2 linked regions of the Cricetulus griseus genome follow. The protein of the gene in region 1 purifies or fractionates together with the protein of each later gene. This does not show direct contact. Links are inferred from orthologs where the notes say so. Each region holds a gene or a part of one and is shown in the gene's direction. Other genes may lie near its edges.

Region 1 (3,645 bases):
CCCCACCCCACCCCTACTGCCTATTTGTTACTCTTTAAATGATGCTTCTGCTCCCTGCCAAATTTAAATTAGTGGGTCCATGTCCAGAGTCCCAGCTACTTAGGAAGCTGAGGCTGAAGAATCTCTTGAGCCAGAAGTTCAAAACCAGCCTAAGAAGCTAAGGTGCTAAACTGGAGGAGCTGTCCGCATCTCCACACCAGCCTTCAAAGCAGCTGAGAGAGGAGCTGTTACAGGTGGTGGTCGTAGTTCCTCCTGTAGTTCCTCCTGCCGTTTGCCCCTAGGTCAGTCAGATGTGATTGTATTTAAACTAGATGAGAGCACAGGTAAGCCTGAGGACTTTGCGGAAGTGCTAAGGTTCCAGCATCCCACAGCAATCTCAAGATGACAGCCTGTCTCCCCTCCCCCAAGCCAGTGATATTTACTCTGATAATATTAATCGATTTATTAAAACATCTCCTTCCCCACAATGAAGGAGTTTGTCCGAAAACAAGCCAGCACAAAGCTGCCTGACCCGGAAGTCATCCAGTTCTGTGTCGCCGTCTTCAAATGCTCCCGGCTCCTGCTCCCCAGACGGAGTTGACCAGCAATTCTTAGAAGACTATCACAAGATGATCAAAGGAGGCTCCGTTGAGGATGCCAGCCAGTACTACTGTGACAAGGTGAGGGTGGTCCAGGTGCTGTCACACTTGGACCGAGTGGCTCGGTGACCCTCCCTTGTAGGCAGGCGAATGAGTAGTTCTGACTGAGAGGAAGTGTCTTGTCACCAACCACTACAGAGGGAAGGGATATAAACAACACTGTCACATGTCTTCTAGAATGACGAAGGAGATGGCTACCTCGTCCTGATCCGTATCACACCAGATGAAGATGGAAGATTTGGATTTAATCTTAAGGTATGCTGCGGAGAGTATGTGTAGCCCTTAGGTTATATGCAATGAGACAATCTTCAAGTAGATTTTGAATTTCAGTCAGAAATCTGCTACATACCTACACTGCATCAACAAAACCAAACAAAACCTCACTTGGGGCTGTAGAGGTAGCTCAGTTGGTAAGGTTCTTGCCACGCAAACATGAAGACCTGGTTTCAGTCCCCAGAAACTACCTAACAGAGATGGGTGTGATGATGCACTCCTGTAATCCCAGTACTGGGGAGGCAGAAGCAGGTGGATCCCTGGGCCTTAGTGGCCTGTCGAGCATAATCAGCAAGCTCTGAGCAAGTAAAAGACACTGTCTCAAGAAACAAGTTAGCTGGCACCAGAGGACTGAGACCCCCAAGGATGACCTCTGGCCTCCACCCAGAGACACACTTGTGTATGCATGCATACTCATATACACAGGTGCACACAATCATTCAGAACCACTCGGGGCTGAGACCAGAGCCTTTTATATGCTTGTACAACTACCTTACAGTAAATGTTTGCAATGTGCCTGACATTTGTGGCATTATACTAGATTTCTGTCATCTTACTGAGCTCTTAGAATAAGTGATTGAGGCAGAGCATGTGGGACTAATGCCTGTAACTCCACTATATCAGAGGCGAACACAGAAAGATTATGAGTTTGAAGCCGGCCTAGACTGTCTATCAAGTTCATGGCCAGCCAGAGCTATCAAGACCTTATCTCAAAAGAAATGAAGCTACTCCCTCAGCCTGGACACATGGGGGAGGGCCTAGGCCCTATCGCAAAGGATATGACAGACTCTTAAGACCCTCCCATGGAAGGTCTCACCCTCCCTAGAGAGCAGAAATGGCTTGGTAGGGTGTTAGTGTGGGACAGGGGAGGAGGGGAGGGAGAGGGAACATGTAAAACAATCTTGTTTCTAATTCAAATTTTAAAAGATGGAGAAGAAAAAAGAAATGAAGAAATAAATAGTGCATAGGACGGTTGTTAAACAGATCTTACAAATGAAACTGAGGTTCAGAAAGTAGTGTGTGTGTGTGTGATTGGTGATCAAACCCAGCCCACAGCCCACCCTGGAGGGGTTATTTAGAGAACCCTATAGCCCTGCTAGACTGATAAGGGAAAGCCAGTTCTGTGAGTTGCTGGGCCTCCTTGTCTAATGGGTCCCTGTAGGCAGTGTCTCCAAACTGCTACCACGGGCCTGCGCCCATCTGTGTACATAGCATTATTGAAGCAGGTGCTGCACCCATTCGGTTACAGCTTCAGGGATTCATTGGTGGAGTTAAATGACTGCCTCAGGGCCCTCTTTCCCACACATCTTAAATAGCTATTGAGGAAGCATCATCTAACTTTCATCTCACTCACACCTCCCCACTCCCTCAACAGCTCCCATTCCTGGTTTTTGTTGTTGTCTTTGTTTTGCTTTGTTTTTTTTTTTTTTTGGTTTTTCGAGACAGGGTTTCTCTGTGGCTTTGGAGGCTGTCCTGAACTAGCTCTTGTAGACCAGGCTGGTCTCGAATTCACAGAGATCCGCCTGCCTCTGCCTCCCGAGTGCTGGAAAAGACTTCTTTATTTATTTTGTATACAGTGTTCTGTGTGTACATATGCCTGCAAACCAGAAGAGGACATCAGGTCCTATTAGGGACGGTTGTGAGCCCCCATGTGGTTGCTGGGAATTGAACTCAGGACCTCTGGAAGAGCAGGCAGTGCTCTTAACCGCTGAGCCATCTCTCCAGCTCTCCCATTCCTGTTCTAGAGTGAATTGGGGCTGGCTACCAGCCTCTGGCTTGTCACACACACCCCATTCTTCCTGAAGCTCCCTAGGGCTCTGCTCACAGGGAAGCACTCAGGTGCACATGGCCCTTCCTGAGGCCTTGTACCTCCTCTTTTGGAAAAGTTAAAATAGTCCCTTTCCAGGAAATGTGGTCGGGTCCTCCCATGGCATCTTCAGTTCTAGTGATGGGGATGTTGGGATGTGCTTCCGAGCCAGTGGAGTGCTGGCTACCCTGCTGGGTAAAGAGGAGTCATTAGTGTGTTCTATAATTCTGCAAAGGCTCCCAGTCCTGTGATTGGTCCTCCTGTAAAGCCTTCCTAAACTGTAAGGCTCACATTTACTGTATCTTGGTATCTTTGTTGGCAAGACTACTCAAGTTTTTTTTTTTTTTTTTTTTTTTTTCTGGTTTTGTTTGCTTTAAAACATTTGCAGGGAGGAGTGGATCAAAAAATGCCTCTTGTGGTCTCCAGGATAAACCCAGAGTCGCCTGTAAGTAAACACATTCCATGTTACTTCCTGTGTTTGCTTTCCCCTAAGTCAAACAAGTTTCTGTTTCTACATCCCATTCCTGGGTTTTGTTGGGATTTCATTTTTATTTGATTGCTTGGATGGTTAGGTGATACACACGGACAGATGGAGACAAGCGTGGGACACCCATTAACTAGAACTGTGCTGTGCAGTGTGGTCTCTGAAACTACAGCACTGTCACCTGGGGCCTTGTTACATGTGCGAACCTCTGGCCAAAGCACAGGTGCAGGCCACAGGTGCTGGCCCAGGCCTGGAGTCCTGCTTACCCTAGATCTGTCGGTAAGAAGATCCCTTGGGTGATATGTATGCACATTGAACTTCGGGAAGTGCTGCTCGAGCGAAGGAGACTGAGAGAGTTTACTTTCTGTTTGCCTCCTGTAGAGATCCTTTGCCTCTTTCTGTTTTTTCTTGCTGTGTACATATGTAAGGTGTAGCATGATATG
Region 2 (3,745 bases), on another chromosome or scaffold:
AATACAGACCTGTCCTGCTTCTTCCGCCAGGAGGAGATGAATGGCTGGCTGGAGGCTGTGGCTAGCTCAGTAGCAGAACACGCCGAGATGGCCCGCTGGAGCCAGACGCTACCTACCACATCATCCACGGATGAGGGCAACCCCAAGCGCGAGGGCGGGGAGCGTAGGGCCAGCGGGCGCCGGAAGTGACTCCAGGTACCCTCCCCCCTTGGAGTCTGACAAGTCTCCTTGCCCCTCCTCTCCGCACTGTGGACACAAAAGACACCTTCTCATCCGCAAGGGCAGGAACGACCAAGGCGGACGTGTCACGGTGGGCCCTAGAATGGAAGGGAATTCTCCTGCACTCCAAGAAATGGTGGTGGGGGAATGCTGTCCCTATAGCCATATCTCGGTCCCTTCCCGCTCGCCAACCCCACCCCAGGTGCTGGGGCTCCATTCTTTTTATGCAATAACTGAGCTTGGTGGGAACGGGCAGGGAGCCAGTTGAGCCAAGCCCCCTGCCCCATCGTCAGATCCTGCCCCAAGAAGCTGGAGTGGCGAGGGACCTGGGAGGTGGTGGTATTCGTTGGCCTCCTCTCCTCCCTAAGGATGGACACGGGGGCGCTGGTGAGGTCCCCTGGACCATCCAGGGTGCTAGGGGGTGGGGAGGGGACACATCCCCTCCCTGCCTTTACCTCACTTCCAATGCTGCCTTGATCTGTCTGGGAAGAGGGAGCGAAGGGGCCCTTGGCCCCTGCACCCCGCCATCTCAGAGCCATGCGGTTAATTCCCGACTTAGTTTATTTTTGCAAAAACGTAGACCTCCCCCCCCCAACCTCCTTCCCTCCTCCCCGCCCCGCATCCGCGAAGGCTTTTAATAGGAGGGGGATTCAGAGTTCAAAACTGTCTTCCTCTCCCCCCACCCCCACCCCCCGTCCAGCTGTAAATGCCACTTCCCGAGGGGAGGGGGTGGGGAAGCCCTCCCCCCCGCATGCTTCTGGCGGGAGCACCTCCCTGGGAGTGGAGGGATCAGGGTTACAGGCAGCCCCAGTGGCTGCCCGGAGACGACGCCAGGGCCAGGGCCAGGGGTGCGGGGCGGTGTGGCAGGCGCACACTGTATGTACCTATAATAAACCCCTTTGGCTTTGACGGTCTACGCTGGTTTCTTTGCTCGTGTGAGACAGGATTGGAGGGTGGGGCGGGCAGGGGTGGGGACCAGGCTGCCAAGACGGCGTGCTAGACTCTACCGACTCACCCAGCAGCGGTGCAGCAGGCTCATCTCAAGATCTGCACACCTAGAAAAGAGAAGTCGAGACACAGGAGGGGAGAGTTATGCGCGTCACGTCGCGTCCCGTCCCGTCCCGTCCCGTCCCGTCCCGTCCCGTCCCGTCCCGTCCCGTCCCGGCCAGGAAAGACCGCCCGGGCTTTAAAGAGTCAGAGAACGTAATTTCCCACGAGCGAGCGCTCGGTCCAATCGTCGGAGAACCCCGGAGTCTCTAGACCAATAAGCGAGCGCCGGGGGCGGGGTCTGCGCGCACCCGGAAGTGGGTGCAGACCGGCAGGCTCGCCCGGGGGGCCATGGCTGCTGCCGCGACCTCCGCAGCGGAGGAGGGGGGGGTCCCGAGTCGGGGAGCCCCCGGGGAAGTCATTCATCTGAACGTGGGGGGCAAGCGGTGAGTCTGGGGGAGCCCCCGAGGCCCCATCCTACGGGACTGGGGCGGGGGTGCACGCCTCTTCGGGGAGTGGGGGTGCTAATCCCTGTCCATCAAGGCTTGCTCCGCCCCGGGATGGAGGCTTGGCGCTTGAGTTAAAAAAAAAAAAAAAAAAGAAAGAAAGAAAAATGGCCAAGGAGGGAAGGTTCGGTGCGTGGATCAGGCGGGAGGAGGCAGCCGTCCTCACCTCCCCGTCGCCTGTCTCCTCCTCGCCCCGCCGCCCAGGTTCAGCACCTCTCGGCAGACGCTCACCTGGATCCCGGACTCCTTCTTCTCCAGGTGATGAGGAGAGCCGGTTTGGGGCGAGGGTGGGAGGGGGCGGGAGGAGAGGGCGTGGGGAGACCGGTTTCCACCCTTACTCACCTCTGCAACTCGGCCCACGACATCCCCTCGGCTTCCCCTCTGCTGTGTGCAGCCTTCTGAGCGGACGCATCTCAACTCTGAAAGACGAGACCGGAGCTGTGAGTGGGGCAAAGTCAAAAGCGGGACGGCCTTTGGGAGGGGGTCAGGACCCCCTCTTTCCTCCCGGTCCTGACCAGGCCCTCCCCACCCCCTGCAGATCTTCATCGACAGGGACCCCACCGTCTTTGCCCCCATCCTCAACTTCCTGCGCACCAAAGAGTTAGACCCCAGGTTGGTGAAGGGTAAGGGGGGTGAGTTCTCCCAAGCGTGAAAGTCTCCTTCCCCGGATGTTCCTTTGTTCCATTTCTTTTAGAGTTATTCAGTCTTGGTCACGTTATACAGCCACCCCCTCTCCAAATATATGCACACATTTGTACCGCTCATCTTTGTTCCCTGGTTTTTTGTTTTTTTGTTTTCTCGAGACAGGGTTTCTCTGTGGCTTTGGAGCCTGTCCTGGAACTAGCTCTTGTAGACCAGGCTGGTCTCGAACACACAGAGATCTTCCCGCCTCTGCCTCCCGAGTGCTGGGATTAAAGGCGTGCGCCACCACCGCCCGGCTCGTTCCCTAGATTTTTAAAAACAGTATTTATGTATTTGTTTGCTTGTTTGTTTGAGATGAGGCCTTGCTCTGTAGCCCTGGTTGCCAGGCTGGCCTCAAACTTGCTTTGCTCCTGTTACCTCTCCTTCAGAGTTTCTGGGGTGTCGGGTGTGCACCGCCACTCAAACTCTCTAAAATCTTAAGCCTGTCAAAACGAGCGCCGTTTCAGAACCCTCAGAACGTGCTGCTCACCCCTACCCCCCAGACTTTTACCCCCGAGTCTCTTCTGTTTACCCAGGGGTATCCACGGGTCCAGCCTCCTCCATGAAGCCCAATTCTATGGGCTCACTCCACTGGGTAAGTAGAAGTCTCCGAGTGTCCCTCCCGACTCCCATCAGTCAGCGCCCTCAGTTATTTCCCAAACATTCTTTATCGATTTGACTCCCCCGGTCAGAAAGACGTTTGGGTTAGAGCTAAGAGCATTCGGTGTGGGTCTGGCTCTGAAGGAGTCGGCAGTTCTGTGGGAAAACAAATGGGGAGACGGACGTGGGTCTGCCTTAGAATCCCTCAAGACCAAGTTTGGAGTCCTTCCTTTGCAGTTCGCCGCCTGCAGGTAAGGGAAGAGCTGGATCGATCCTCCTGCGGAAATGTCCTCTTCAATGGCTATCTACCTCCTCCAGGTGGGCACTCCCAGTAGACGCTGGGGAGGGGAAGATTGGGTTAAAGACTACATTTCCCACAAAGCTACAAACTCGTAGGTACCTGCATTTGGAGCCCTGAGCTCCACTGGGAGTTGTAGTTCTTTATCAGCGTGTTTGGAAAGGAACTAGGAAACAGCATTTTCCATGAGCATGATGGGAGGTGTAGTTTGAGTTTTTTCAGAAAGGAAACATGAAATAAAAAGACAAACATGTAAAGAATAGCATCCTCATGGGGCTGGGGAGATGGCTCAGAGGTTAAGAGCACTGACTGCCCTTCCAGAGGTCCTGAGTTCAATTCCCAGCAACCACATGGTGGCTCACAGCCATCCGTTATGAGATCTGGTGCCCTCTTCTGGTGTGCTGATAGACATGGAAGCAGAATGTTGTATACATATTAAATAAATAAAATCTTA

Evidence for each region. The genes of interacting proteins can lie anywhere in the genome.
Region 2: the proteins of Ptpn3 (region 1) and Shkbp1 purify together in Homo sapiens (affinity purification with mass spectrometry; 4 studies listed by BioGRID and IntAct, with this or other methods). This does not show direct contact. The link is inferred for Cricetulus griseus from reciprocal best matches to the Homo sapiens genes PTPN3 and SHKBP1.

Annotation. Positions count from the first base shown.
Region 1 is NC_048595.1:86,660,108-86,663,752, forward strand, and holds part of Ptpn3 (tyrosine-protein phosphatase non-receptor type 3), read left to right. Parts: intron 1-472; coding exon 473-659; intron 660-815; coding exon 816-893; intron 894-3,106; coding exon 3,107-3,163; intron 3,164-3,645.
Region 2 is NC_048602.1:8,560,632-8,564,376, forward strand, and holds the start of Shkbp1 (SH3KBP1-binding protein 1), read left to right. Parts: upstream 1-1,510; 5' UTR 1,511-1,557; coding exon 1,558-1,652; intron 1,653-1,916; coding exon 1,917-1,970; intron 1,971-2,106; coding exon 2,107-2,152; intron 2,153-2,250; coding exon 2,251-2,324; intron 2,325-2,929; coding exon 2,930-2,988; intron 2,989-3,230; coding exon 3,231-3,311; intron 3,312-3,745. Other genes in the region: Sptbn4 (spectrin beta chain, non-erythrocytic 4), read left to right, coding at 31-189.